Linked DNA regions of Ovis aries. The protein of the gene in region 1 purifies or fractionates together with the protein of each later gene. This does not show direct contact. Links are inferred from orthologs where the notes say so. Each region holds a gene or a part of one and is shown on either strand. Other genes may lie near its edges. The genes, in order: ZNF462 and CBX5.

Region 1 (15,699 bases):
TGTCTCTGAGCAGCGGCGTGGATTAGGAATGCAAATGGCTCACACACAAGACTTCTCATCCAGACCTTCCCAGTGCTCACCTTCACGGCGGCGGACACGGCGGGGACACTGCCGTACTGGACGTGCTTGCGGAGGTGGTTGCAGATGGCTCGGAGCGTCGGATGCACTTCCACACAGAATTTACACTTGTAGCCCACCACCTTCCTCTCCTTGATCTTTGGCACCTCTTCTAAGTGACCAAAAGGCTGGTAAAATACAGTGGTAGCCATCAGTACTCCAAGCCCTCCCTCAACGGCCGGCATTTATTCTTGCAGCTTACTAGATTTTACGTTACAGCAGATTAGCAGGTTAAAAACCAAGGGAGATATATGCGAGCATTTTTACATAATGAATTCATCAGAGGCGAGGCGCGCTGCCGACTACGCAAAGTCTCCGGAACCCCAATAGGTGATGACTTGTAAGGAGAGAAGTTCTCGGTGCAGAAGCCTCATCGTCACTGCCACCCAGTTATCTGGCTTTCAAACCCATTGTTCAACTACGCAGGTGAAACGTTGCATGAGCTATGCCATGAGTGAACTTCTTGACCAAAAAAAATTAAAGAAAAACAAAAATCTACTCCTGGAGATGTCTGGTTCGTGGAGCCGACATTGCAAACCAAGGCGTGGCTGAGAAGCACTAAGGACACGAGAGATGGCCCACAACTGCCTTGGTTAAGAGAGCGAGCCGTTGTCGTGAACTAGGCCTCGGATAATACAGGAAAACCACCCAACCCTCCCCTGGGGAGCCTTGGGAGGGACCACAGGGAGGGGGGCCGGGGCTGTGGAGAAGGGTGAGCAGAGAATGGGGGAGATAATCAAGCTCGAAATGTTTAATTGACTTATTGAGCTCTCTGGCAAGCTAAGTCACTAGGAAGCCTGGAGCGGTTTGGCTGGCAGCGAAGAAGTGCATGTGGGCACCAGTGATGAGAGGCCTCCTGGGGGAAGGGAAATCAAAACATATCCTTACCCTCTCTTGTTTGAAATCTGCAAAAGCACCATCTGCATATTTCTGCTTGCTCAAAAGCTGTTTCCTCCTCTCCTGACGTTTGGCACGCTTCTGGAATTCCTCATTGTGAATGTTCAAGTGCGAGGTCAGCTCGGCGGTGCTCTGCAGTTTGCTCTCGCAGTGCTTGCACTGGTAGGCGGAGCCCTGCAGCCGGGGGCCGCCGGCCAGGATGACGAAGTCCCTCTTGAGGTCCCGGCTGTGGTGGTCCGTGTAGTGCATGCTCAGCAGCTCAGCCGTGCTAAAGGACAGCTTGAAGCACTTGATGCAGCGGAACGGGAGCCACTCGATGTCCTGCCCTTCGTTTCCCTCCACCTCGGCTTTCTCGAAGCCACCTCTCTCTTCCGAATCTTCCAGCAGCATCGGCTTCTCGTGCTCGTCGGCGTAGACCGCGGTGAAGTAGCCCCCCAGCTTGCTGGCGTGCTGCTTCTTGGGAAAGACCCCCGGGTGGCGCTTCATGTAATGGGACACGATGCCCTTCTTGCTGAAGGACTGGAAGGCGCACAGGGAGCACTTCTTCTTCTCCACGGCGCGCCGCAGCTCTTCACTGAGTGGCGGGGAGTCATCCTTGGGTGGCGACGGGATGATCACCTTGTTGGGCTTGTCGCTGATGGTTCTGGAGGCCGCCAGGCAATGGGTGTAGTAGGCGTCGATGTCGTGGCGCTTCTGGTAGTGGGCAGCCAGCCCTTTGCGGATGGGGTTGGTGTAGGCACACAGGGCGCACTTGAAGAGGTTGTTCTTGCCCTCGGGCTGGGCGCGCACATTGTTGTGCTTGATACGGTAGTGCCGGGCGATGCCCTTCCGCGTGGAGCAGAAATACTTGCAGAGCTGGCAGCGGAACACAGTGTGGGACACGAGGTGCGAGGTAGCGAAGTGAGACGTGGACACGGGCTCCTCTCCCACCTCGTCCTCCATCACCGAGACCTGGGAGGGGCTCACTTCAGTGGTTATCTCGGGCTCGAGGGACATGGGCAGCTTCGGGGGCGACTGGGAAAAGACATCGAACTCCGGCTGGTTGTGGTACTTCTCATAGTGGATTTTGAGCTTCTCCAAAGTGCCGTGTGTGTAGGGACACAGTTTGCAGCGGTAGGCGCCGTACCCTTGCTTGAAGATCCTGCTCGTCTCCTCTACGTCGTTCTGGGCTATGTCGGTGGACTGCTCCACGTCGTGCACGAAGTCCTCTGCGGTCACCTTGATGGACGGATGTCGCTTCTGGTAGTGGGTCAGGACCCCGTGGATGCGGGTGTTGATATAAGGGCAGTGCCTGCATTTGTAGACAGCGCCGGGGTTGATATCGATGTCCTGGGCAAAGTCGGCAGCCTTCACCTTCATGCCTGGGTGCTTCTTCCCATAGTGGGTCAGAAGGCCGTGCAGGTTGTTATATTCAGACTGACACACTGTACACTGGTATGGGGTGGAGGAGATGGCGGGGTTCGCTGAGGCAAGCTGGATCGTCTTCTCAGGGGAAAGCCTGGCATCCTCGGGGCATTCAGCTTCCTGCTCAGGGAGCGGGCCGGGCATACTGTTTTCACAACTCACAGGGCCCACCAGGTCTTCAGAGGAAGACATGGGATTCTCCACGGCATCTTTCTCCTTGATGATATCCAGCAGCACCGACTCATCCCCGTTCATGGCCCAAGGGTGGAATGCTTGGTAATGATTGGTGATGTCCCAGATGGAGAGGGCTTCGAAAACACAGTCTCTGCATCTGTATGTTTTGGCTTCAGCTGGCATAGTAAGAGAGGGAGGGGACGGGTCTGGCCCTGCCCAGAGCTTGGTGGCCATGTAGGTATAATCCACGTAATGCTCGGGGTGCCTCCTTTGGTAATGCAGGAGCAAGCCACTTGGCTCTGTGTGGGAATAGATGCACCACTCGCAGTGGTAGCCAGCTTCTATCAAGCCATCTAGAAATGCCCATCGCATGATGGACGTGACCGTGGCCTTCAGGGCAGGGTGGTCTTTCTTGATATGCTTCCTTAGGGCATAAAAGTAAGGGGAGGTGTACGAGCACTGCCTACACTTGAGCGCTCGCAGTTTTGTTTTGTCCCGCTCCACACCCGAGGGGGAGATAAGCATGCAGCTGGCAGGCTTCTTCTGGTTGCGGTCGCAGAGGCTTCGGATGGTGGCTGTGTGCTGCCGGATCACATCCGCGTTGGCCTTGAAGTCTCGGTGCTTCTTCTGATAATGAATGAGGACACCTTTGACCGTCCGGTTCCCATAATCACAGTGCTGGCAAAAAAACATCTCATTTTCCACGGGAGGGCCATCTCTCTCGGAGCTGCTCCGGTTGAGCTGTTGCATAGGGGCGGGTGGCCGGGGGGAGCCATGGGGCCCCTCCGGCCCTCTCATCATTGCAGCTGTGGGAGGAGCCTGTCTGATATATTTGGCAGTAACCTTTATTTCTGGGTGTCTTTTCTGGTAGTGGACAAGGACTCCCACAACTGACCGATTGCTGTAGGAACAGTGTTTGCAGTAGTAAAGCTCAGTACTGAGGTCTGGTGGCGGGGGTTGTGGGGGGGGTGGGGAACCCATGGTGGACATTTTGGGAGACATTGGAGCACCCACCTCAAATGATAACTGAGAAAGGGCAGAGCCCCTGTCCACAGACACCATTCGCATGGTTTTCTGGATCCTAAAGTAGGAAGCCTTTTCTTCTGGGTGTTTCTTCTGATAATGAACCAACACAGAGTGCATGTTGGGGCTCGCGAAGGAGCAAACGTCACAGTCGTACACGACAACGGTGTTGACCGAGGGGTCCTTCTGATTTTCACATTCTGGAGGAAAGGTCTTGGAAGGAGTGTTTTTGGGGAACGGAGCTGGCATACCGCCACCACGGGCCACGGGAGTGGACGTGGCCATGTTCTTCGGAGCCGAATTCAGGATCTCCCGCAGCGTCTGGGATTCTGTGCCTAGCCCCTCCTGCTGCTCCACCACGTAGCTCGAAAATATCATGGCATTGTTAATCTTCACGGTGGGATGCATTCTTTGGTAATGTGGCATCAGGCTTCGGACGTTCGGGCTTGTGTAGGAACAAAACCGACACCGGTAGATCAGGTCCGAGTGGTCAAAGTTGAGGACATTCATGGCTTCTGGGTGGTGTTCGCCGTAATGCTGCTGCAGGTCTTCAAAGTTGGTGTAATCGATGTAGCATTCCAGGCACCGGTACACTGCACTGTGATCATTGGGGTCCAAGATGTACCTGAAGCTGAACTTAATGTATGGGTGCATGCGCTGGTAGTGGGTGCTGACACTCCGGGCAGATTTGTTGTTAAAGTCACAGTGTTTGCAATAATAAAGCCTTCCCGAGTCACTGAAGTCAGTATTTTCATTATTGTGCTCAGTTGCGTAGATCGGAGTCTGGGTGTTGAGCAGAGTCGTATTGGAAACCTGGTGATCTTTCATGTTGGTGGAGGAGCCGTAATAATCCTCTTCATCTTCCGAAAGGGTGAGCTCTATTTCAGCCCCATTGGTGGCATTGTAGTCATGAGCAACAGTTCTGAAGTTGGGCTCCTTCGGGGGCTCAGGGGCATCTCTCGCCCAGATCTGCTGGGCAGAAAAGGGCGTGGGCACCTCCAGGACGGGCTCCGGTGGGTCTTCCTCCCTGTCCAGCTCCACCTCGATCTCCACTTCATTGTCCTCCTCTTCCTCCTCATCATCTTCCACGTTGATCACCGCATCTTCCTGCTGTTTTGTTTGGTTAATTTTGCTCTGCAGGTTGCTTGCTATCTCGTCAATTCTGGTCCTCTTCTTCACGGGCGATAAGTCGAGTGGAAAGTCGTTAGCGAGCTTCCTAGAGGCCTTGGCGACAAAATTGTTCTTGGAGGACAACCCAAGAATTGAGGTCTGACTTTTCTTCACAGTGTTGCTGGAAGAGGGGTGGCTGTCTGTCTCGCTGTCCAATGGCAGGCTTGAGGTCTGCCCCTCAAATTTTGGCAAGTTGTCGCAGAAAGAGTGTTTGTGCTGCTGATGAACTCGCAGCCCTTTCAGAGTCGTGGTGGAGTAATTACACATGGTGCACTTGTAGGGGTGCAGGGGTGGGGCTTGCGCGGGCGGCGGGGGAGGCGGCGGGGGCAGCTGGGGCTGGGGTGGCACCTGATGGGGCGACTGTAGCTGCGGCGGCTGCGGCTGTGACGGAGGTGGTGGTGGCGGTGGAGGCGGAGGCGGGGGCGGCTGTTGCTGCTGCAAGGGATCCAACAGGACCCCCGACTTTCTGCCATTGATGCTTGAGCTCTCGTAAGACACGACACCTTCATTCAGCGAGGAGGAAATGCTTTCACTCTGGGAATTCACAGCATCCCAATCTGATGTGGTACCCGTGTGACACTGTTTGTGAGCCCCAAGTTTTAACGAGCTCTTGCAAGTAAACGGACACTCATCACATTTGTAGACGGCTGTCTTTCCAGATAAGTGGATGTTTTCTATGTGACGGGAAATACTACGTCGATGCATGGTGAGGAAAGGACAAAAGGGGCACTGGAACCTATTCATGAATCTTCTAAATGGGATCCCCTTGGTCTCCAATAATTTGTTGCCATCTGAGCCCATCAGCTGTTCTGCAGACATGCCTACTGTCTGGTGATCCATAGCATTTAAGCCATTTTCACTGTCTATCTCATTTAACTCTTCATCAGAACTGGAGTCATTCAGCATGCTGTTAGTTTCCAGGTCAGCAGAAGAATTGGTCATCTCGGGCATTCCGTAACGGGATCTCTCCGCCAAGTTAACGAGGCCAGAATTGTGAGGTGACTTCGGCTTCATCTGAGAGTAAGACATGGGCGAAAACTTGGAAGTGGAAGAAGAGTTGGGTCTCATGATGGAGTTGCCGATAGAGCCCCTGAAGTTGGAGACGTTAGTGTTGGGTAACTCCCGGCTGGCAGCATTCATGGACAAATAGGTGGAGTTAGAAGTGGGGCTGAGGTCATTCTTGTTCTGCGCCTCAGGCACATTTGTCCCTTCTTGCTGCTGCCTGAGACTGGACAGGATCTTGACCATGCTGCGGTGCTTCTTCATCATGTGGTCACACCAGCGTTCTCGGCGGGGAGTCTGATAGCTGCACCACTCGCAGCAAAAGTTGCCTCGAGACTTGGTCAGTGGCTTGACCATTGATTCTAAGATGCTGCGCTCCACAACCTCTGCTGGCAGTTCCTTGCAGGGGTCCTGCAGGGACATGGGTGGGACCACCGGGTCTGGCATTGGAGCGGGGGCAGGGGGGGGAGCAGTGGTCTCCTTCAAATTGTTTTTGTGATACATCTTCTGATGCTTAATTATTCTTGCCCTCCTTGGTGACTTGTATGTGCAAAACTGGCAAGAGAAGACCTTTCCAAATCCCTCATGCATCATGATATTATAATTTAAGGATCCTGGAATAGGGGGTCCGGCTGAACTCCCTTCAGCTTGAGCTCCGTGGACCTTCCTAGTGTGTTCAATGAGGAGGTTTTTTGACCTGAAGTAGCGTACACAGAACTTGCATTGAAAAAACTTGTTTGTTGGTTTGGGATTAGGGGCAATATGCTGACTGTAATATCCTGGACTATGGCCATAGTAACTTCCAGTCCCCAGTGCGGCTGCATTTTGACCTAAAGAGAAAGCATAAGGTAAGTGGGAAGAGAAGAGCAAAGCAAAAGCAAATCAAGAAACTCAATCATGCAAATCCAGTTTGCTTTTCAATTATTCCTCATTAATAAACATCACATTCAAAAGGCCTAACATCTCAAGATGAGGCCCTGAAGAGTAGTAACGGTGTTAATGAACATCCACATGTTGCCTCTCATGGATGGAAGGCAGTGCTCGGCTTCAGGTGCAAGACTCCCCCCATCTCTATGCGCCACAGAGCTGTGCAAGTTTCACAAACTGCGATATTCATTCTAGAACTTTCCAAGATACTACCTTATGCTCCAAGTTGAAAGGAAGCGAAGTGACATAAGGAAGCTGAAAGGACTATTGCCTGGGCTACTCAATAAGAGAAACATGATGCCCAAATCACAAACATGGCTCACAAAGGGGGACTCCAGGGCTTAGGACTCTATACTTTCCCTGCCATGGCCCAGGTTCAATCTCCGGTCAGGGAACCAAGATCCCTCAAGTTGTATGGTGCAGTGAAAGAGAAAAGAAAAATGGCTCACAAGGAGCGAGAAACTTTGTAGGAGCTGTGCATGTCAAGAACCATGGCTACAGCTGCCTCAGTAGGGTACACAGCCTTTGCCTATACAGGTTGCTCTAAGGAACTTGAGGACAGTCCCCTCCAGGGGACATTCCTGACTGGCATGCCAACCCCAAGCCAGGCTCCAGACAGGGTATGTGCTGGGACTTTAGAAAGCCCCAAGACACAGTGGCCGGGGTTCACATTGGCCAAGTCATAATATCCATTCATATCAAGTTGTAGAACAAGGAGTATGTGACTGAGGCCCTCCACAGGGCCAAGTTCAAGTTCCCAGGCCACTAGAAGAGCCACTCCTCCAGGAAGTGGGGATTTACTAAGTTTCCTGCAGACGAATCTGGAAATATGGTGCAGAAAAGTGGCTCATCCCAGATGGTGGTGGGGTCAAATACACCCCTTATGGTGGCCCTCTGGACAAATGGCGGGCTCTGCACTCGTTAGAGTCTTGATGCTATCGCCTCCTTACTCATGCCCACCAGTAAACCCTACTTTCCTGTCAAAACATTTTAAAAAAGAACTACAGCTATAGGCTCAAAATAGATGAGGGTAGTGAAATACACCAGACGCATCAATCCTAGGACAGATTTACCTGTTAAGTCCTCTCCAATTGCAAATTCATCCTTTATAGATGAAAACTCCACCTCTGTCTGGTTACTGGCATTCATGGACCCAGATCGTGACTCATTCGCATTGTCTTCAGCAACGTCCGTCGGCTGCAGAAATGCCGTATGGACATCCTGGATGTGCGCCTTGAGATCTTCATAAGATGGGGCTCTGAAGTCACAGCCATCACACTGAAGCACCTCCATCATCTGGGTCTACTCTCTCACATTAGGAACCTGGGGCAGAAGGCAGAACAAAACGTCTTAAGGCCTGCACTCATTGCATACCCCCAAGCTGGTGGGGCTATGAGTCCACTAATGGAGGAATTCCAGTATCAGCCAATTTCTCTCACTGGACTTTGCCAGATGCAACAGTGGTCAAAGAAAGGAAATCAGACATAATAGGAATGGTGTCCTTGACATCATAACTTCAAAGAAAGGAGGAAAAAAAAAAAGATAAACTTTTTCTAGCTTCATATATCTTCAAATGCCATTTGTCACAAAAACCCTTAATACTTCAAAAGTTGTCGTAGTTTCTCAATGTCTTGACTGATTTCAGATTTCTTGGTAAGTTAATACTGACTTTGATTCTGGCTGAGACCTATTTTCTTTTTGAACCGGAATCTTCTCAGAAGTAAAGAGACTGCCCATATAGAAGAAAGAGTAAACTTCAATCTTCATTAGCAGTTTTAATACAAGAACATCAATGTTTTACCAGCAAATGGTGAAACAGTGTGGAACCTCAGAGTAGCAGTGGAAAAAGCTTTTACTATACTTTTCATTCTTCTACTATCTTAACTGATATTAAGATACACCTCCTTCTTCCTTCCCTTTCCTACACAGGGTTTTTTTTTTCTCTTTTTTTTCATGAGCTAAATGGTTATTTGCTTTTTACTACCTACCAATTATAACCTAACAGCTTCTCCAATCTAATTAGGTCATAAAATATTTCTCATGAGATTCTCAAACAACCAACTCTAGATGACAATCCAGTTTCTAGTTTCAAGTTGCACCTTGGTCCCTCAATTCACACTAAGGCAACAGAAACACATGTGGTTTGGAAGAAGGGCTTTTAAGGCAGGACCTCCTCTTTTTCCACTTTTCCCCTTTATGAATGTGAAGTACATACTTGGGCATAAAAAGCTGGGAAGCTGATTTCGAATAAGGCAAAACTTGCCCTGGCCACTTCTGCCCTGCTATTTACTGTGTGACTGAAAGATACACATAGCTTCCCATAAACTCAATGGAGAGACTCACCATTAAGAAGTTAAAAATGTATTAGAAGGCATGCCCTTCCTATCTTCATGTATATCCTGAATTGAGATACCCAGTTCTTATCCTAATGACGGAGTTACTTCACTGAGCTCATGGCAGACTCTACGAAGCCAATGAAATCTAGAACCAGATGTCCAAGCACAAAAGCCACAGCCAAACCTTTCACTACTTTGGTCGTATTTAGCACCTTCCTATACTTTTATTGTAAAAGATCAATTATTTCTGCAAGAGGAATAAAGTTGAGGAATCTGTCAATGTAGTGAAAGGCGCTATGACAGGAGGATTTTCTCTGAAAGAATGCTCCTGCTGATAGCCTGTGAAAATAACTCCTGGCAAGTCCAGCTCTGGACAGCCTGAGCTCGTAGGGCGAGAGGCACTTATCTACCCTCTCTCCTTTCACCCAGCAGTTTCTCCTTTTTCAATAAACCCTGAACTGTGCACCAGACTTCTTTTCAGCTAACTCAGCCTCCATGTTCCGGGCCACACCAGCTTTTTTCTGTCTCAGCACCAACCCAAATTGTGTGGAAGAGGTTGCTATCAGCTCTGGATCAAATTACAGCCGACACGGACGCCCCACCCCACTTCTCCTTTTCGCAGAGCCCATTAGACCTGAAAACAAATTTTTCCATAGTGCAGACGACTCCTGCATTTAGAACACTTCACAGCAAAAAGGCGGATCATCCAGGGTGCGCTCCCCATCCCCCCAGCTTAGTCCTTTCATCTCAGCCAAACAAGCCACAGCTCTGCTGAATGTGTTTATCACACTTTCAAGAGATAGGAGCTCCTGCGTCACTGAAGCTCTAAGACTCACTAAGCTGCCCTAGTCCTCTGAGCTTTAGGAGCGGCCATTTTAGCTCAGAGCTTCCCCTCCGAGCACAACATGGCTTCTCTGGGATGGATGCTGCCAGGCTGACAGGCAGAGGAAACAGGAGAGGAGCAGTCTGGGCCCCTCCTCTGCCCTCCTCCTCTCAACAAAGAAGGAACTGTTTTCACTCCTTCCCGAAAAAGCAGCACCTTTCTCCTCCTCACATGTCATTCACCAAGGATCTCCCGAAGGTTCTTTTATCCCATGATTGATGGGCTGGTACGTTCATCCCAGCACAGCCCTGGTTACTGCAGGACGTTCCTGGACATGACCCTGTTCTCCAGCAGCCTTTGGGGGTGTGCTGGAGGGGGGGAACCTCCAGAATGCCTTGGCTTCTTGGGAGTCGTCCTTCCACACACAGAAGACATACCATCCGACTCTGCTTGCCGGATTCCAAAGTCTAATGACCTTTGTTAATCACCAGCCAGTCTGTCTGCATCAGCAGACCCTGCCAACAGGCACACCCTTCAACACAAAGGCTGTAGCTATTCCTTTTAAAAGAGGTTCTCTGAAAGCTCCATTGTGTAGCCGGGAGGAAAACAAAATCTCTTCCCTTCAAAACTTCAAGCCTTTAGACATAATGTAACAGAAGGCTTTCTGCTGTGTGTCTTTTGGAAAGTTTGAGCCTCATTCTCACTACATCCACCAAAAAAATGACAGTTCTGCTCAAGGAAAGCAGGACACCTTTGGCATTAAGTCCTCCACCCAGAGATGAAACTCATCTCTCCACATGGGTCTCTAATATCTTGGTGTCTTCCAAAGCTGTTATCAAGGATTCAGACTTCACTGGATGCAAACAGAAATCAACAGCCTTCTTGTTCTGCTACAAAGGAGATTAAAGGGTTAGGAGATCAGGAAAAAAAAAAAGGCCCTGATTTGGAAAAAGAAGAGATGATGAAAGCGATTTCCTAATGGGTTCTAGCTTTAATGTTGTTGCAGACTCTACCTCAAAAATAGTGCAGAGCCTTGGAAGAGGTTAATCTCCAGGCTGCCAAGAGAACCAGCGTCAGGTACGGCTGAACGGCCTTCAATTTGATGTCCTGAAATGAGGATGTAGCCTCCTCTGAAAGGCATTTTGTCTTTGTGCACATATTGCTCCTGGAGACGTTGACAGAAGAAGAAAACAGAAATTGCCAGCATGGCCTCAACAATCAAAGACACAGAGACTTGATGTGTTTATGAGACTGAGGACGGACACATGGGCAAGAAGTGAGAGGAGGAGGAGGAAAGCTGGACCTGAGGATGACCCATTCATCAACCCAAGGATGTTTTTGCAGCAGATGGTAATCCTCTGAGAAGCCAACAACAAAGATGGGAACAAAGATGAGAAATACGCTCCTGCATATTTGACTGTTTCATCAACCCAGAAAGAACAGCAACCCTAAAAGGCTAAACCAGACACTGATAGCTACCAAATGATGATTTAAAGTTAACAGCCTTGATCTCCTATCTACTTTATTTAAAAATACAGCTGCGATAGTGAGATTATTAGTAATATTTTTTTTCCCACTGACCAAATCAGCAAAATCAAAAGCAGAGAAAGCTTCTGAACTAACTAGAAAGAAATGCTATTTCAAAAGGTCATGAGATAAATCTACAAATCAAACAAGCACCCCCCACCCCCATCTCCTAATCCCAACACAATATCTCCAGACAATTCAAGGTCAAACAGGCATCGGAAGACTAGACTCTCAACACCATCCAAGATGATGCCGTGGCAGGCAGATGAATATGGGTTTGTTCCTAAATAAGCTAACACCTAATGTGATTAGTCCTCCTAACGTGAAACCTCTCAGTTCAGTCAGTCAGTTCAGTCACTCAGTCGTGTCCGACTCTTTGCGACCCCATGAATCGCAGCGCGCCAGGCCTTCCTGTCCATCACCAACTCCCAGAGTTCACTCAAACTCAGGTCTATAAAGTCGGTGATGTCATCCAGCCATCTCATCCTCTGTCGTCCCCTTCTCCTCCTGCCCCCAATCCCTCCCAGCATCAGAGTCTCTTCCAATGAGTCAACTCTTCGCATCAGGTGGCCTAAGTACTGGAGTTTCAGCTTTAGTATCAGTCCTTCCAAAGAACACCCAGGACTGATCTCCCTTAGAATGGACTGGCTGGATCTCCTTGCAGTCTGAGGGACTCGCAAGAGTCTTCTCTAAAACCGCAGTTCAAAAGCATCAATTCTTCGGCACTCAGCTTTCTTCACAGTCCAACTCTCACAACCATACATGACTACTGGAAAAACCATAGCTTTGACTAGACGGACCTTTGTTGGCAAAGTAATGTCTCTGCTTTTGAATATGCTATCTGGGTTGGTCACAACTTTTCTTCCAAGGAGTAAGCGTCTTTTAATTTCATGGCTGCAGTCACCATCTGCAGTGATTTTGGAGCCCCCAAAAATAAAGTCTGACACTGTTTCCACTGTTTCCCCATCTATTTCCCATGAAGTGATAGGACCAGATGCCATGATCTTAGTTTTCTGAATGTTGAGCTTTAAGCCAACTTTCTCACTCTCCTCTTTCACTTTCATCAAGAGGCTTTTTAAGGTCCTCTTCACTTTCTGCCATAAGGGTGGTGTCATCTGCATATCTGAGGTTATTGAAATTTCTCCCGGCAATCTTGATTCCAGCTTGTGCTTCTTCCAGCCCAGCGTTTCTCATGATGTACTCTGCATATAAGTTAAATAAGCAGGGTGACAATATACAGCCTTGACGGACTCCTTTTCCTATTTGGAACCAGTCTGTTGTTCCATGTCCAGTTCTAACTGCTGCTTCCTAACCTGCATACAAATTTCTCAAGAGGCAGGTCAGGTGGTCTGGTATTCCCATCTCTCTCAGAATTTTCCACAGTTTATTGTAATCCACACAGTCAAAGGCTTTGGCATAGTCAATAAAGCAGAAATAGATGTTTTCTGGAACTCTCTTGCTTTTTCCATGATCCAGCGGATGTTGGCAATTTGATCTCTGGTTCCTCTGCCTTTTCTAAAACTAGCTTGAACATCTGGAAGTTCACGGTTTACATATTGCTGAAGTCGGGCTTGAAGAATTTTGAGCATTACTTTACTAGTGTGTGAGATGAGTGCAGTTGTGCAGTAGTTTGAGCATTCTTTGGCACTGCCTTTCTTTGGAATTGGAATGAAAACTGACCTTTTCCAGTCCTGTGGCCACTGCTGAGTTTTCCAAATTTGCTGGCATATTGAGTGCAGCACTTTCACAGCATCATCTTTCAGGATTTGAAATAGCTCAACTGGAATTCCATCACCTCCACTAGCTTTGTTTGTAGTGATGCTTTCTAAGGCCCACTTGACTTCACACTCCAGGATGTCTGGCTCTAGATGAGTGATCACACCATCGTGATTATCTTGGTCATGAAGATCTTTTTTGTACAGTTATTCTGTGTATTCTTGTCACCTCTTCTTAATATCTTCTGCTTCTGTTAGGTCCATCCATACCATTTCTGTCCTTTATCGAGCCCATCTTTGCATGAAATGTTCCCTTGGTATCTCTAATTTTCTTGAAGACATCTCTGCTGCTGCTGCTGCTGCTGCTAAGTCGCTTCAGTCGTGTCCAACTCTTTGCGACCCCATAGACGGCAGCCCACCAGGCTCCCTCGTCCCTGGGATTCTCCAGGCAAGAACACTGGAGTGGGTTGTTGTTTCCTTCTCCAATGAATGAAAGTGAAAAGTGAAAGGGAAGTTGCTCAGTCGTGTCCGACTCTTAGTGACCCCATGGACTACAGCCTACCAGGCTCCTCCATCTATGGGATTTTCCAGGCAAGAGTACTGGAGTGGGGTGCCACTACCTTCTCCTTTCCCATTCTGCTGTTTTCCTCTATTTCTTTGCATTGATCGCTGAGGAAGGCTTTTTCATCTCTTCTTGCTATTCTTTGGAACTCTGCATTCAGATCCTTATATCTTTCCTCTTCTTTGCTTTTCGCTTCTCTTCTTTTCACAGCTATTTGTAAGGCCTTCCTAGACAGCCATTTTGCTTTTTTGCATTTCTTTTCCATGGGGATGGTCTTGATCCCTGTCTCCTGTACAATGTTACGAACCTCTGTTCATAGTTCATCAGGTACTCTTATCTATCAGATCTAGGCCCTTAAATCTATTTCTCACTTCCACTGTATAATCATAAGGGATTTGATTTAGGTCATACCTGAATGATCTAGGCTCTTAGACTATTCCAACTTTCCATGACTCTGCAGTACTACTGATTACCACTGGTTGGTTTGTTCACTTTACATTTATAGGCTGGGTGTTTCACGCGGTGGGGTTTTGATGGAAAACCCAAAACCCAACTTTCATGTTGCATAAACTCTTGAAGACATTTTTAAGGAAAATCCAGAGATCTTGTGAACGGTTGGGAATATACACTTGAGAACAGGGAAATGGAAAGAATGGCCACTGGCTGCTCTTTCTCAATCTTAAAAACAGCAATTGTCAATTTATTTACCAAACAAACTGACTCAAAGACATAGTAAATAAAGTTATGGTTACCAAAAGGGAAAGGGGAATGGGGGGAAGGATAAATTAGGAGTTTGAGATTAGCAAATTACTATATATGAAATAACAAGGTCCTACTGTACAGCACAAGGAAATATGTTCAATATCTTATAATAAACTCTAACGGAAAAGAATCTGAAAAGGAATATATTATACATATATATGTATAACTGAATCACTTTCTGTATATCAGAAAGTAACACAACATTGTAAATCAACTATACTTCAATTCTTTAAAATCACCAATTTTAATTTCTACCATCTGCCCACCATGTTCTGTGTTTAGAATTTCCAGGGGCCCATTATGCCTCTGTTTTCCTCCTGTGAAAGTGAAAGGTTACATTCCAGGGGTTCATGCTGTGTCTTCCCCACTCACTGCCCAGACCCAACAGGAGAAGGGAGGCACCCTGGGTTGCTGGAGGCTGTTTCCACAATCCTGCCACCACCAACCTGCACCCAGGTCAGCCTGGGGAGCACTGTTCTCCAAGCTTGCATGCAGCATGAGTATTTTCAATCAAAATCCCAACTGTCTCCAGGAAGTGTCCACATGAAAACGTGCAGGCCTTGTCTGGACCTACACTGTTCCCTGACTGAAGGACTGCAGACCAGAAATAAAGCCGTGAAGCACTGCAGCCACAGGGATTCAGGAGCAACTAATTATATGCTTCAAAGCCTTTGAGAAATAGAACCAGAAACACCGTAAGATGCCTTTCCTCTGTCCACTCCAGAAACCCAGTTTCATTTATAAGACACTGAACTTCCCAGTTCTCCTGAATCATAACTCTGAGAAAAGGCTTTAGTGACCACCTGTTGTCTGTGCTTTTACTTTCTCCTTTTCTATGAATGGAAAAACCAATTACCCAAGGTCAGGTAGTGGAATGCATAAACTGTGGAACTGTTCAGCTGGAAAGACAGAAAAATCAGAAACTTAAAAGATCATGCTACAATGCAAATGTATTTGAGATCAGAAACTGTTGCTATGATGAGGTCAAAGAGCTGCGGGATGTTTTGGGAGGTTAGCACCTTTCATGTCAAGCCCCAGGAACGTGATTTGGGAAGAAAGAAGAATTTTCATGCTTAGGCTGAAAAATGAGGGGAAAAAAATCATGAATCCACTTGCATGTGTGGGTTGCTACTTTCAGCAACAAGGTGTGTTGTGTATCACTACTTATCATTTACTCTTGTCATAGTCCAAGTGGCAGTGCTAATAACTTAAAAATCATTTAAAGCATCTTTCCAACCAGGAGTGTTCCAAGAAATGGAG
Region 2 (16,176 bases), on another chromosome or scaffold:
ATTGATACTGTGGCCAGTGGCTCCCCTCCAAGAATTCCCCACTGAAAATAATGGCATGGAGGGTAAAGTGGGGTCCACTGAGAAGTCTGAAGCCTCTTTGGTAACACGACTGCTTTGGGAGGCCACAAAAGTTGGCAGGGTTGGAGGGTGCCTAGCACCTTGGCACAAGCACCAGGCAGTCACTCACACCTACATAAATATATAATCCAAATGAGAGAGATGGAAGGAAATAATACATACATACCAAATGTGATAATAAAGACAATTGTATCCTACCCCATCATCCTCATGTACTAATAGCTACAAATTTCCACAGTTAATAATCTTGTCATTTTATAACAGACTTCACCAACTTGCAGAAGCCGAATCAGGGACTGCTAAGAAATAAGGCCAAAAGTCCTGGGGCTAGGAGGAGTGCCTTGACAAATCTGAACGTAAAATTTCAAGCCCTCCTAAGGATGCCGCTCTTCTGGGAGGATGGTGAGGATGAACAACAGAGGGTGGCCCAGAAGACCACATCAGGAACCCTGTATTCTCCTGGGTAGAGCTGAATGAGGTTGGGAAAGCCCCAACAGGTAGGCAGTTGCTATTGGCTTTTTTAAAAGACGGGCAACATCTCTTCCATCCCAACATCTCAAAACAAAGGCTAGCTGGTCATCAACATGTTCTAAGAGCCAAAGCAAGAAACCAAAATTCAACATCATTATACCAAAATCCCCCACCTAAAAAGCAACCAACCCCGAAAAGATCAAGACTCTAAGGTGACTAAAAAGTTAAAATTCATCTTGAGGTCACAGGGGAGCAGAAGGGAGAGAGCAGGGCAAAGGAAAAAATGGTGGGAATTACACACAGTATGTAAATGCCTGGTCTTCACAGAGAGACACTTATCATGAATCAGACCATCAGTTATGTTACAAGAGAACCAATACCAACATTTCTCCTGTGGAGCACAGTGATAAGCACATTTTTTATGGATGTGTTTAGGATAGAAGGGGGTGGGTAGAAAGGAGAGGAGGCAGGGAGCTGAATGTATTATGTACAAAGAGAAATGACAGAGACCACCCCCTCCTTTAGCTCTTTGCTGTTTCTTTCTCTTTGTTTTCCGCATCCTCAGGATATGCATGCCACGTCAGTCTCTCTTCATAAAATGCTATCACAATTTGTGGACATTTAACATTAGCTTCTTTTGCAAGAACCAGGTCTGCTTCATCTGTGTCTTTCCTGGAGAGAAAGAATATGAGACTTAGAAGGGAGGAAGAATGAGAGTCTGTCCAAACACTGGTTTGTGTTACTGAATTATGAATTAGCTGACTTGATTTCCTCTCCATCAAAAGGAAAAGGATCCTAACGGCTCCAATGAATCAAATTGTTAGTAAACATCATTTAATGACTACATCAGGAAGAAAATAGAAGTCTTCAGCTAGAATAGATGGAACACATATCGGGTTTAATTAAAAGGCTGAAAATTAAACTACTCTATAAATTCTGCTTTCAGAAGTTTTATTTGTGTGTATGAGCATGTGAGTGAACACACAATCAAAGCTACATTCAGCCCTATTGATTACGCATAAATTGCTCAATCCAATTTCTGGATCATCTGGATCATGAAAGGGTCCTAACCCTCCTCATCTTCTGGCCTTTTAAACACTCATCCCTTTGGTCAGAACTGTAGGTTGGAACAATAAGAAAATAGAAACCTAAGTCAGCAAAGAATGTAAAACCTAGTCACTAAAATGAAATGCAGGAATTAGCTGCAAATTTCAATTACTCAAGTTACACTTTTTACTATCCAGTGTAACAAAAACAACAAAAATCTAGCAAGTTCCTTAATCAAGATTCCAAATCAAGAAAAAAAATTTTTTTTAAATTAACATTCCACTGAGATGTGGGAAAAGACAACTAACTTCTTTTTTTTCCCCTCCACCTAACTCCTTTTCTAGAAAATGGAGATGCTGAACTCATGGAGGTAAGCATTATGGATAGGAAGAGGAGGGGGGAAACACACAGCTTAGAGCAGCTACCCAAATTTGGACTGTGGTGGAAAAAGCTAGTTAATATGTGAATGTAAATCGTTAAGTTCCACATATGGCTAAGTGGGAAGAGCAGGCAATACAGCTCCTGACTTTGGACAGATTATAGTGATTCTTCAAATATAGGCTTCTGGGTAATTTACCAGCAAAATTTCGATCAAATAAAATGTTAAACCTCCTGACTATCCAACTTTCAAGGTAATTAGCTTCCTTAGTGGCACTGTAGCAGGAACCCTCTATTTAGAGATCCAACTTAAATCACAAGTCAGAACACTTGGAAACAGAAAGGCAGGGGGGCTGCACCATAAATCACTCTGACTTTAAGAAACCAAGCTGAGGGGAAGCAACTACACTTTCCTCTAAAGCTATTCCCTCTACCGGATGAAATAACTTGTGCTTTGGCTAGTATTATCCTTAATGCTTTTTGTTAAGATTACTTTTCTCTTTTATACATTATTCAGCGGTCTTGGTCTTCAGTGGTGGCAGAAAGCCTCACTCAATTTCTAGCCCATGGCCACAGGCTCATGGTGTAACGGTAAACGATTCAGAACTGTGTAAATAAATGGTTAGGTCATGTTTATATGTTTCCTACCTCAATTCTACCATTTTCTGGTATGTGGGCTAATGTAATTTGGCTTAATACCAAAGTTTTACAATCTTAAATCCACTCTGAACCGTAATTCCCATTTAATACTGACAGCTGGTATCAGTTAAAAATTTAGATCCCTGACAATCAAAATTCTTAGCTGGGGAGTACTCAGTCTTCCCTCCCTATCTTCCATATGAATTCAAGTCACTGCAAAGAAACACAATTGCAGAGGGAGGCCCAATCTCTCTCACCATTTCATTAGGAACATTAAGTCACCACAGGAATCTGTTGCCCCAATGATCTTTTCTGGTTCCAGTCCTCTCTCAAAGCCCCGAGCGATATCATTGCTCTGCTATAAACAGAAGATGAAGAAAGGTTATGGCTTGGAGGTAAGAGTAGAAAACCTTCCTGTTTCTCAGCTCAACAAAACACAACCTAAGTTAATATTACTGGATATCATATTTGTCACTCAATTCATAAAGTTCTTAGAACTGCAGAAATACAATACTGGGTCAGCCAGTAACAGAGATGCTAAGAGCTACTTTGCAGGAAGATGCAGCTGTCCTTTTAGTATTTCATCAAAGGCCTGGGAGTAGCCCCTAAAACTGCTAATATCCCTTAAATATTCTGGAGTCATCATCTAGGAACTCCTCTCATCCCCTAATCTAATATCCTTAAACTTGCTTCTCAGATGCTAAACAAGTCCAGGTGAACTAAATCCTTTTTCATTTTATAAACTTCAACTATACCACCTCTCAATCTGGAGTTTATTCTCTGGACTTTCAGTTCACCTAATACTGACCAGTATTTTTATTTTATTTTTATTTTTATTTTTATTTTTTTTTTGACCAGTATTTTTAATACTTCTTTACACATAGCCATCTGTACTTACAAATGAACAATGATTAAGATTAAGAAGGGATTCAAAGAACTACCATAAGATAGCAAATTTCTTTCAGAGATCACATACTATAATCCCCATGAACTGGGGAAGAGGTCCTGATCTGTGCCTGTCCCCTCCTGATGGAGATAGGTCATTAGCTTTATAGAGTAAACTGGAGAGGGATTAAAAAAAAAAAAATTCTGTAGGGGATTATTCAAACTTGGTCAAATTGCAATCATGCAATCTAGATAAGGAGCATAGGATTTGATTCCGTTTCGATGGCACTGGTGAGAGCAAAATGGTGAAATTTTATACAAACCAGGTAATTTAAACAACCTTACTATGGAAGATAATGCCAGCTTATCTAATGGTAACACAAAAAAGACTTAGACTGTCCAAATGAACTAAATCGCCAATGTCTGATTTTCATGCTAAAATCTCTGATCTGCCTTTCACCTTGCTTTCTTCTGAGAGATACAAAGCCTTCAGCATCCAGGTGGTCCCAAAGATACCAGGACCCGCACGGAGCAGGAAACCCCATGCATGAATCAGGGGACATACAGGCTCAAAAGCATAGCCTCTTTTGGGGGCGCTTAAAGGGAGGAGGGTCCCAGATGTGCACACAGCTGCTCACAGCTGGAATGCTGGCACAGCAACCAAGTCGTAAATCATAGCTGGCGGCTGAAAACAGTTTGCCACATAGGGAGGGAAGAGAAGAAAAATGTTCAAGCAGCTGAAAAGGAGCCGAGGCGAGGAAAATGCTAAAATCATCACACAGGCAGTAATCTTAAATCAGGCATAATGCCGACTAACAAATTTCCTCTGCAGTGGTCTAAAGAAAGAAACGAAATCCCCCCCTGCACCTTTAAAATATACAATCACCTATCTTACCAGCTGCCTACATGACAGCCATCAGCACTGCTGAGAATGCTGCCAGGGGCCCCAGATGAACATTACAATGTAAGGGACATGTGTGTGTGGGGGTGGTTTTCAAGGTCAGCAGCATCAAAAGGCCAGCATCCTGGCCTAGGAACCAAACTCTGCACTGGCCAGTGTCTCAAAGTCAGATTGCTCCTCCCCCCCCCCCACCCCCAGACTGCTCCTTTTTAAAAGGACATAAACGTTAGGTTGAGGAAATACACACTGAATGTCAAAAACGGCTACAGAAGTCATGCTGTGTTGTTTCTTGGTCTCTTTACTTAGCTGGAAAATGCATCAAATGACAAGAACCAGAATACAAAGGACTAATAAAAAAGTAAAACAGAAAGACAGACCCAAGTCTTAGCTCCTTAGAGAAGGGAAGGCATTTTCAAATTATCTACTAGTATGCTATATCATAATGATATACACACCTCACCAGAACAGGGGAGTTTTAAAAAATAAGATTGCAAAAAATAAAATTAATCAGGGAAACAAACAAAATACTAGCGTCCACTTTCACTGACAGCCTCCAATCTTTCATTCTTATTTCAATTCTTTTTGGAAAGTTGTTCTCCCATTTTCTCTCCTCTGGAGACCAGGAATCACCTGTGTAAGTCTCTAGAAAATACTAACGCATAGGTCCAACCCACAGAAATTTGAATTTTATTGGTCTGGAGTGCATCTTGGGCACCGGAGGCTTCTTTTTCCACAGCAATACTGGAGGCTTTTGAAACACCCGCCTGCCCCCCTTGCCATGAGTCTAATATGCAGCCAGGGCTGAGAACTAATGCTCTAGCAAGACGGGTATCCAAGGAGAATGAAGATAAATATGGATGCTTATGGCAGGGATGCTAGAAGATTCAGAAGCAGACTTACACTTTTATTTTATTAAACTTTAAGGGTATGATATATCCTTCACCACAAAAGACTTCACAACCTTGAAATTAATGAAAGGAATGGAAGCTGTGGGGGGTGATGGAGACACATGTGCACACATGGAAAAGATATAGACAAGAAAAAAAAAAGACAGGAACAGTGCTTATGGCTAGTTACTTAACAGCTATATATCAGAAGGATTAAAATAACTGAATCAAACCAAAGTTTCATAAACACATTTTCAAAAACTGAACAATAAAAATATTCATAAGGAAGATGAAAAGTAATTTATTTGAAGAATGCAAAAATACAATAGGATCAAGAGAGACTACACATGCCACTGAGCTGTTCACTTTAAGATGGTTAACTGGGGACTTCCCTGACAGTCCAGTGGTGAAGACTACGCACTTCCCATGCAGGGGCATGGGTTTGAGTCTGGTCAGGGAATTAAGATCCTACATGTGTTGGTGTGGCCATAAATAAATAATTAAAAAAAAAAATAAAATGGTTAGTTGTATGTTATGTGTTTTCACCTGGTTAAAAAAGAAAGAATATAAAGGGTTAAAGTTAAGTGCTCTCTTTGGAATAAAAGAAAAAAGTGAAGTAGTAGATATTTTAAAGCTTCTTTCTATCCCTAAAAAATTCACTGAAGACTCTCCATAAGACAACTCAGCCACCTATTCACAAAAAAGGCACTGAGTGGCTGAATGTTTTACAGGGATTTAATTTTGCCACCTTGACACAATTCAGTGGACACATAGTACATTTCTTACTCAGCCAGGAGGGGGCGCTGTAGTGGATCAACAAAACTCCCCGGGGAGCTCCTGTGTTCAACAATTTACCGTATAGGCCATCCCTAGAATAAAAACAACCAAAACAGTGCCCCTCTTTTTTGGGTGAAGCGAGGAGGAAGCACAGGAAGCAGAAGAGTGGGGGGTGGGGGGGAAGGAGAGGAGAAATGAAGCTTACCTCTCTCTTTTTTTTGGACTTAATATCATCAGCACTGTTTGAGAAATTGGATTTCCTCTTGTTACTTTCTGATTTCTCCCTGGGTTTGTTATTTTCACCCTCCTTCATCTTCTTATACTTTTTCATAAACTCAGAAATTAGCTCAGGGCAATCCAAGTTTTTCTCAGGTTCCCAAGTATTGTGCTCCCTGGGCAAGAATGGAGAAAAAAGGAAAGAAATGAAGAAGTTTTGGGGTAGGAGGAAATCCAATACCTTACTTTACAGAAGACAAATAGGCAAAAAGGGAATAGAATTCCTATGCTTAAAGGAGATAATCAATTTGATTCTAGAATCTATCCAATATATTGAGACACACACACACAAAAAAACTTGCACACAACTATAGCAGCATTTTAGGAGTCAAAGACAGAAAACAATTCAAATGCCTGCCAATAGGCGAACAGATAAACATAACATGGTATATCCATACAATGAAATACTATTCAGCAACAAAAAAGGGACGTAATACTAATATATGCTACAACACGGAAGCACTTCTAGACTGTGCTAAGCTAAAATAAACAGGTGCTGATCAGTCGTTCCTTGTGGCTGGGGCTTGCAATTAAATACAAAAATGTCCAAGGGAATTTGGGGAGGTTACGGAAATGTTCTGAAACTGGACTATGCTGAAGGCGGCACAGCTCTAAAAATTTACCACAAATCACTGAATTGTGTACTTTCAGTAAATGAATTTTATGGTATGTAAACTATGGCTCAATAAACCTGTTAAACACTCAAATATAAGTTCTGCTTTGTAAGTGGCAAATGTGATTTCATACATCATCTTTGCAAATCCTGGAGAGAGGACAATCTAATTCTAAATGCATTCCAGTTTACACTGTCTTAATTATGTTACTTATATTTCCAAGAAATGCCAGCAAATTGATGGAAGACTTCAGTAGTTAATTAGAAAAAAAGGCAGTAAGGGGTTAAATCATTAGAATATAAGCGAACCATAAAAAGGAAAAGACTCAAAACTGGGATTTGGAGCCCATTCATTCATTGCTCTGGATTCAGGTCTACTGTCACTAGGTAATCAAAATGCATTTCTATATTAATAAGCAAAAATAATTCAAGTTAAATAACTGTGTCTAATTAAACTCGGATCAAGGGGAGTCCTTCTATGAGGAAAATAAAGTTTGCATTCACAAACTTGTTCTCTGTATTTCTAGCATGGATTTTAGAAGTGCAAATCACTAATACCAAGAGCAGGTTATGTAATAAAAGCAAGAAATTTATCTTCTTTGGGAAAAACCAGACCAGGCATCCTCTTCACTCCTAGCCAGTGGCAGAGGTTCTTTCATTAAGAACTAGCTACATTAAGATATATCTGTACACATATCACAGACACAGTTTCTATAATCCCTTCACTGACTTAGGAAATATTTTTTACATTTATGCACTATTTATTTTAGATACTTCATTAAAAAACAAAAACGATGTAGTATCTTTAAATAAGAATGGTTTGAACACATGCTATAACTTAATAATGATGGAAAAATCTGAGCTATTTACTCTAGACTTCAGCTTTCTGCAAAAAGAGCTTAAGAATGAAACAAAGTTTATTTCTAAATCATTTGAGCTAAAACTGGAAAGCCTCTCCCTCACAGCTCTTCTTTCAGCCAAAAAAAAAAAAATCCTCATACAATAACTTTCTCCCAAATTCACAGATTATATATAGTTTACTATCCCAGGAGAAATTAAGGCACAAAAACCAAGAGGCATGCCAACACTGTAGTACAGTAAGCAAGCTAAGATGCAGAGGTAGGAGAAGAATCTCTGTTGCCACCAAGGAAAGCCAATCTTCTAAGGGGATTATCCCTTTCCCCACCAGGTTAGTATTGTTTCTACATCAATCAGTTTTCACCCAAAAGATAACATGGTATAACTTACAAAGAATCTGCATTTAGTTTTATTTATTTTTAAGAATCTGCATTTTAGCACCAAAGAAATGTGATGCTGGATCCTTGTTTTAGCATGTATCAGGTATGTTATCTCTAGTAAACAATTTCCTCATCTGTAAATACCTCTAAAGGCTGTTATGAGAATTACAGAGAACACATGAGGTAGGATATAACCACTGCCTAGCAAACAGTAGGTACTCAGTTGTGGACAGTGTTGAAGGGGCACAATCTGTCTCAGTCTTTAATGAAACTCTGGATACTTTTGAAAAACTCAGGACAAATGTTAATCCATCTACCCTAAATCTTTTCTTTACCTCTTTTATCTATGTAAGGTATCAATAGCTCAACTACACAGTCTTCAAATTCTTCAAAAATACCCAACAATTTCCAGTGATGATTCAATGGGTCAAATAAACATTCTTAAAGTCTTCAGGTGTACTTTTGTTTTTTAAAGATTTATTTTATTTTTGGCTGTGGTGGATCTTCTCTGTTACACTCAGGCTCTCTCTAGCAGCAGCAAGCAGGGGCTACTCTTCGTTGCGGTCTGCAGGTCTCTCATTGCGTTGGCTTCTCCTGCTGCAGAGCACAGGCTCTAAACCGCTGGCTCAGTAGCTGGGGTACCCAGGGCTTAGTTGCTCCGAAGCACGTGGGATCTTTCTGGACCAGGGATCACACCAGTGCCCCCTCCACTGCAAGGCAGATTCTCAACCCCTGGACCACCAGGGAAGCCCCCTTCCTGAAGGTGTATTTTAATTCCTATCTCATGATGCTCTAGGCCTCTCAAATCCGTAGTGCTCAACTCTAGAGGATGCTGCGATACCATGCTTCTTTAGAAACATGGAGGGCACATTCTGACTGCTGTGCTACCCACATTTAGTTCTCTCTGTGCTACAAATGCTAAGCATCCTGCAGTGCATGAACTGTCCCAACTAAAACACCAACAATGCTCCAGATGAGAAACTTGATTCCCACAATAACCTTAACTATACTCCAAAGGCTCCTGATCATACCTTTGTCCAAAGGGACTGACAAAGCATTCAATCTTTTATTAAAGTCTCACACTTTTAAGTTGCGATGTTTAATACGGTAACTACTAGCCACATATGGTAAATGAACATTTGAAATGTGGCTAGCATGAACTGAGATGTGCTACAAAATGAAAAATATACAACAGATTTTAAATTCTTAGCATGAAAATATAAAATTTCATTAATAATTTTTGTATTAATTTTGAAATAGCATTTTGGTGGGAGTGTCTAATAAAATATATTATTAAAATTAATTCCACTTTTCCTTAATATAGTCACCATAAAATTTAAAATTACATCTGGCTTGCATTCCATTCCTATTGAATACTCCTAGGAGCCTAAACCAGTTCCTATCAGCTCACTGGTGTTCACAGAAATCCATTCTTTGTTATCAGGCATCCTGGGAAGAGAATTAATGAGAAATTAAGGCAAAATGCCTAATGATTACACAGCTTCATGCAATTCACTTTTCAAGCTACCTCTTCTATGCTTCAGTATGTGTATATTTACTTCAGCACTTAAAGCCAGTTACTGCCTAACTCTGAATACTCAACACTTCAGTATCATTCTTAAAGCTCACTGACGTAAAAGAGGGGTTTTAAGGTCTTTAATAGTAAAAAAGACAGATTGAGGAATAAAGATTATATTAAAATGTTATTGTAGAAATGAGGTGGTATGTATTTGAGTGTTCACTCAATTTCTTTTGCGTCAGTTATATATATATATTTTACATTTTTAAAAATAAATATTGGGTCTCAGATTTAAGTCTCTTATTATCTTATTAGGATGAGTGTTACAAAAAAATAACAAAGATGAGTGTTTCATCCTAGGACACTTTTGAGGGCCAAGGGTCGTTATGGAGCGCTATGGGATCAACTACAACTTCTACTTAAATGTATGTATTTTAGTTTCGTTACATCCAAAATAACAACAACAGTTTACACGTACACTGACCTTATGTGTCTGACTCTATACATCTCCCCAACATCTCTACGATATATACTATTTCTTATCCCTATTTTATTGAGGAAGAAAGATTAAGGAACTTCAGCAAGGTCACCCAGCTCATACTGTAAGTGGTGGGAGCAAGAATCTGGACGCAGGCAATCTGGCCCCTAATCTATGCTTCTAACCAGTTCATTACACTGCCTCTCAAAAGCAGTCTCATTAGAACATCAGCTCCAAGAAGGGGAGACTTTGCTTAGTTCACTGCTGTGTCTTGCGACTCTTAGAAAGGAGTGCAGGCGAGGAAAGAATATGACAAAGATGGTGATGGTTCACAGGGAAATGAACCAAAGCTGTCTACTTCCCTGAGTCCCAAAGCATGAGAGAAAGTACTTACTCAGAAAAGCCTTTCCACTTCAGTAGATATTCCACTTGTCCCTTAACCACACGCCTGTCTAGCACCTTCTCCACAACGTACTCCTCCTCATCTTCTGAAGAACTGTCAGCTGTCCGTTTGGTTTTCTTTCCCATGTCTCACGCTGATTCACCTGAAGGACTAAGGCCACCGGGTTCCTGCAAATGGGAAGGACAAAAATGGTCAGAATCCATGCAAGCAGTTAAAATGTTCAGTCTCTCAATGGGATGCAGCAGGTATAACACAAAGCTGCCATGTACCTTTCTCTTGGGTCTTGAAACATTCTACAGATGAGTCCTAAGAAGGTAACCAAAAATGGGCAGGTCCCCACTTTCTTAATTACAACTTCCTCTTCAGCTCACAAGATCAAAATTATTAGATGGGCACAATTATCTAACTCTAATTTCAGAGTCTATAAAACAAGTAGGGTGGTATTTTACTCCTGGTACCTCTACGACTGTCTACAAGTCATAAACTGGAACAGAAACATGGAAAACCTTCCATTTAAATAAGATTTTCTATAAAAATGAGAAAAAAAAGAAAAGCCAGCAAAATCTAACTTTCTTCTGCTCTGAGCATCCTGAACAGTCTCTTAACAGGACAAAAAAGGCCTGCTCGGGCATGTTTCACCACATTTTCAGTGACTCGGTACATTTCCCTTCAACAAACTGAGCTTGTCCCTTCAGAGCACCCATCAGCTCACAAAAGCAAGGCTGACACCTCAAATATATTAAGCCTCATCTTTCATTTGGGGATCGGAGGGAGGCATGGAGGAGAAAAATATTTTTTAGTCCTAAAAATCAAAACTAGTCATTGGGCTGTTCGGTAATTCTTAAGGCTCAACTAATCCAAATATTAAGGAGGTACCTCTCCTCTTAACTGGAGCTGACTTTGGGCCAAAGGAAGAGGAGGAGGAAAACAAGAGGTCTGGTCCCAGACTCACAGCAACATGAAGCCTCCAAACACAGAAGAACCATTCATAGGCCCAAGGAAAGCTGAAGCAAGGCAACACAAATGGAAATTGAGTTAAGCTCAGAAACATGCACAACCAGGGGGTATGCAGCAGAGACTCTAGTGTTTTAAATTCCCTCCTTGTTGTCAGCACAATCATTTTTAAGAATTCTTCCTTAACCATGTTAAATGGTGCCTAGAGTCTGGATTATAGAGTAGCAGGGATTGTTTTCTTAGCTGAACTCCATTTTATTTTGCTGTAAACCTTAAAGCTTTTTTTCAGCATTCTAAAAACATTTTCTTTCTGATCAGATGACCACCCCAGGAACAGGAAAGGTCACTACTAATCTCAGAATTTTGTCTTTGAGTACCATAAAAAGTTGCATTAATCAATTTACTTCAAACTAGCAAAATTTAGGGAATTATTCCAAGAATATATAGTTGTAAATCATACCTCCAGAACTTACTAGCAATAGGTCTGCCCACCCAAAAAACTGTCTGTATGTTTTTAGCAAAATACTTCATTTGGATGAGGGAGTGGGAGTGTGGGGAACGTAAGGTAAGGAGTTTCAAAATAATTTTTCCACGAATTCAGACGGGAGTCCTTTAGCTTCAAGGAAAAAAAAAAATCTGATTTATTTAAAATAAAAGCAGCCTCCAACCTCACCAGAGACAGGAAATGTCCTATTCCAGGGAGAATACCCCACCCCACCCCCACTCACCTTGGAATTTCCGGGAGCTGAGCAGTTTAGGTCAGAGCGCCAGGGTTAAAACCAGCCCCGGGTTAGATGCATGCAGTTAAGCATTGTGACTATGGCCTCCCCTGCCTCACGAGGAAAAACAAGGATTTACATATGTGTTCTTCAGTTTCAGGGAGGAAAGAGGACAATCTCCCTTTATACCTTCATGCAGAAGAGGAGCCCCAAAGGCAGAAGATGAATGGGGGTTCCCTCCTTTACCTACCGGATCGCCCCAGTTCTTTCTTTCCCTCTGGGCTAACAGGAGGGGCCTCCCCTCCCAGGTCTGGGGCTTGGCGGGCTGGCAGCTCCCCCGCCCCCACCCAGCTGCCTAGGCGCCACTGCGCAGCTGTCCCAGTCCGTTGCCATGGCAACTGGCAGCCTTACTAGACTAAGGGGGGGAGAGAAGCAAACGGAAAAGTTAAAAGGCTTAACTTTCCTTTTCAGAGAAGGCTGGGTGGAGAAGTTGGAAGGTACCTCCCTTGGCCTCAAGTCTAAGGCATTCAGAGCTCCAGGGAATTGGCTCTTGGGTTTTTAAATCCAGAACTTGTGCTTATTTCTCTAAGAGCACTGGGAATTTAATCAATAGCATTTTAAGATATAACAGGATTATCGCTCAACTGGAAGCGGGGGCGGGGAAAGGCTAGATCCTTCTACAACAAGATCAGGACAAACTACCGACCCCCTAATCCAGCCCACCAGGAACACTTTAGGCGAGGTCTTTTCTACCATCTGTCACTGAACAGTTAATTAAAATTGGGAGGCGGGGGAGGTGCAGGGAGTAACAGGAAAGGGAGAAGTATTTCAAAGATACTATACAACTTTCCTTCTTGGGGGATTACTAGATTCAGAAACAGAATCTAGAGACTTGAAGCACTACCGAAGACTCTTTCAACTGAAATTATAGATAGAAAACAATTTAATTCTCCAGTAGTTTTAAAAAAGGGAAGGAACAGTCCACTCACAACCATTACTGTTAATTGAAAACCACTTCTCATTAGTTGTTTTTGTAATATTATAAAAAAAATTTTTAAAATAATTACCCACTTGGAACATTAATTATATAATATAATAATTAAAACCTCGTGTATTAAAAATTCCTAATACTTGAGAAAAGGAGGACTGAGATAAAGAAAAGAGACTTAAGAGACTTGCAGTCCTGTGAATGTTCCTTTCTGCCGGCCTTAACATTTTAGAGAGCTCCACAACTCTGCTCTCTTCTTTACAGATATGAGTCTTTTAGAGACAAAGGCTGCTGCCACAAGAGAGTATGAATAAGGGACAATCAAAAGCCAAGAACCCGACTGAGGGGAAAAAAAAAAAAAAAAAAGAATGGTGATTATTCTGCCTATCAAACAGAAGAAACTGTAGGGAATGAGAGCACAATGGGCAGTTTTCAACTACGAGAATTTCTTCAACTTTGAATAGACTCATCAGGAAATCTGAGTAAAATCTGCCTTTCTCAACTCTTCGTAACTTTTAAAAACTTTTTGTAGTTAAGGGATATGAAAATAATGCCAAAGGAATTAGATCAGAGTTGTGATTCTGTGATTAACTTGCCATGTGTGATCCTGAGTAAAGAAATTTTAGGTCTAACCTCAGAATCACTAAAGGGGGCCAAATAAATCCCCACTGCCTACCTCCAAGGGAAAGGGTGAGTTTATGTTGAAACCAGAGGCTGTTAAGTCCCCCAAGAGAAGCTTTTATAAAATATTACAGGGCCTAATACAACAGCAGCAGGAAATACGTGACCTTCCAAATTCCTAAGCCATTAAGCCATATTACATGCAGTAACTCCTGCAGTTCCACATGTTAGAGAGCAAGAAAGGGGGAACCTTGTCTTTGTTAACCTGCTGCTAGTAAACCAATACACTTTCAGAGAAAAGGCAGGTAACCTTTTCTCTCAAGGGCAAAATTCTTACTCCTTAAAACTCAGGAAAACATTGGAGACTGCAGAATGAAAAAACAGGTTCTGTGAAGGGATAAGGGACAGGAAAGAATGACAGCAATACTAAGATTTTAGTGAAACCTTTCAGGGAAAATAAGGGAATCCAACGAGGAAAGGGACAAAAACATTCTGGTGTTCCATCTTTCTCCTTAAAACATCAGGAAATGAAGAACCAGATCAATTCCCTCTGTCCCACTCTTAAGAACTGGCTTAAAAGGCACATGGCTAAGATCCTTTTCTCTTTGGGAAATGGGTTTTGCAACAGCTGACAAATCAAATTGGGCCTGATGCCAGGAGTCAGAGTCCAACCATAATATTCTGTAAAGAATGGCATGCAATTGTCTTGTAAATCTCCTGGACAGTCACAGATCAGAAGCTAGCAAGGATGACGACATAGTTCTGATGGAATGTGTCTTATCTTAACCTTGAAGTTACAGATCTGCTCAGGAGCAGCAGTAAGAAATGAGAAATGCACTCAGACATCGGAGGGGACATAATTCTCTTTTAGACAGTGCGACCCAGTGTATTAGGGTCAAATGAAACACAAAGCCAGACGGACAATTTAAGGGCTAGAGCCTGGACCAGATAAAGCATCTAGACTGGTGGTTCACGCTGAGCTTGGGAGGAGGGAGTGTTCCAGCGTGAGAAATGAGACATGGCTGGCAGGATGATGGAGAGATTAAGGTAGAATCCCAATACCATGCCGGAGGAAGAGACGCCGAGCCTCTTGAGCACAACCTTATTATCCTTATGGAAATCTCCATGGGAAGCGGTGAGCTTCTCAAGTCCCGTCTTTCAGACATAACAGATCTCAGCCTTTTCTTGAACACACACAGGAACTCTCTGGTAAAGGCATCAACAACTACTGACAGAGTCCAGCAATTTAACTGCCCATCAGATCACGAAAGAGAGCAGGCCCCACCCACCCTTCATATCAATGACACAAGGCAAATTCACCTTGCAGGCAGGCCCCTGTGTGCTGGGGGAAAACACCTAAGCCAGGGAATCTGGTGAGAATTCAGCCTTGGACAAACATCAAAGACCTTTGCGGTCAGGCAGTCAGAATGCACATTCCAAGTCGATGACAGGAAACTTCTTTAACAGATGAAATCTTCCAGAAAAAAAAAAAAAAAGAGAAAACGGGAAGAGGTGAGGAGGTGAAGCAGAGCGGGACCCAAAAATCCCACACATTGTAAGGGTAAAAGAAGATTTCAAAAAAAGTAAAAACTGCCAGTCCCCAGAAATTAGAGAGGGCATCACAGAAAGCTGGGGCAACGCAGAAGAACAACAGATGTCATGATTAACTGTTTGCATTAACAGATCAATACTGGAAGCAGAGAACCACTCACATGAGATCGTTGGTTTGTGTACTCTGCCCAATCCCTCCATTCACTACTTTTCAATGTCAGTTGTCCTGATGGCTTTTGCATTTTCACGACAACTGACAAGCAAAAGCATATATATACACACACATACACATATGTGTATATACATATATGTATACACAGTGTATATGTATATATATTTATGTGTGTGTGTGTGTATATATGTATATATATAAAAAATAGGACATCCCTGGTGGTGCAGTGGGTAAGAATCCACCTGCTAATGTAGGGGACACAGGTTGGATCCCTGGTCCAGGAAGATTCCACAGGCCGCAGAGCAACTACGCCCACGCACCACAGCACTGAGCCCACACTTTAAAGCCCGGAAGCCACAAGTAACAACTATTGAGCCTGTGCACCTAGAGTCTGTGCTCCTCCACAAGAGAAACCACTGCAATGAGAAGGCCACGCACCACAAAGAAGGGAAGCCCCCACTGACCACAACCAGAGAAAGCCTGTGTGCAGCAGTGAAGACCCAGGGCAGCCAACACACACACACATACACATATATAATAATTCTAAGTCTTTCTCTAAGCTTTCTTTGTATTGTTTAAAA

The links.
Region 2: the proteins of ZNF462 (region 1) and CBX5 purify together in Homo sapiens (affinity purification with mass spectrometry; 3 studies listed by BioGRID and IntAct, counting the BioPlex papers as one, with this or other methods). This does not show direct contact. The link is inferred for Ovis aries from reciprocal best matches to the Homo sapiens genes ZNF462 and CBX5.

The regions. Positions count from the first base shown.
Region 1 is NC_056055.1:16,187,423-16,203,121, forward strand, and holds part of ZNF462 (zinc finger protein 462), read right to left. Parts: intron 8,038-15,699; 5' UTR 8,011-8,037; coding exon 7,788-8,010; intron 6,618-7,787; coding exon 1,006-6,617; intron 246-1,005; coding exon 81-245; intron 1-80. UniProt on the Homo sapiens protein: Zinc finger nuclear factor involved in transcription by regulating chromatin structure and organization. Involved in the pluripotency and differentiation of embryonic stem cells by regulating SOX2, POU5F1/OCT4, and NANOG.
Region 2 is NC_056056.1:132,281,038-132,297,213, reverse strand, and holds CBX5 (chromobox protein homolog 5), read right to left. Parts: upstream 10,716-16,176; coding exon 10,582-10,715; intron 6,456-10,581; coding exon 6,269-6,455; intron 2,972-6,268; coding exon 2,871-2,971; intron 1,222-2,870; coding exon 1,071-1,221; downstream 1-1,070. UniProt on the Homo sapiens protein: Component of heterochromatin that recognizes and binds histone H3 tails methylated at 'Lys-9' (H3K9me), leading to epigenetic repression. In contrast, it is excluded from chromatin when 'Tyr-41' of histone H3 is phosphorylated (H3Y41ph).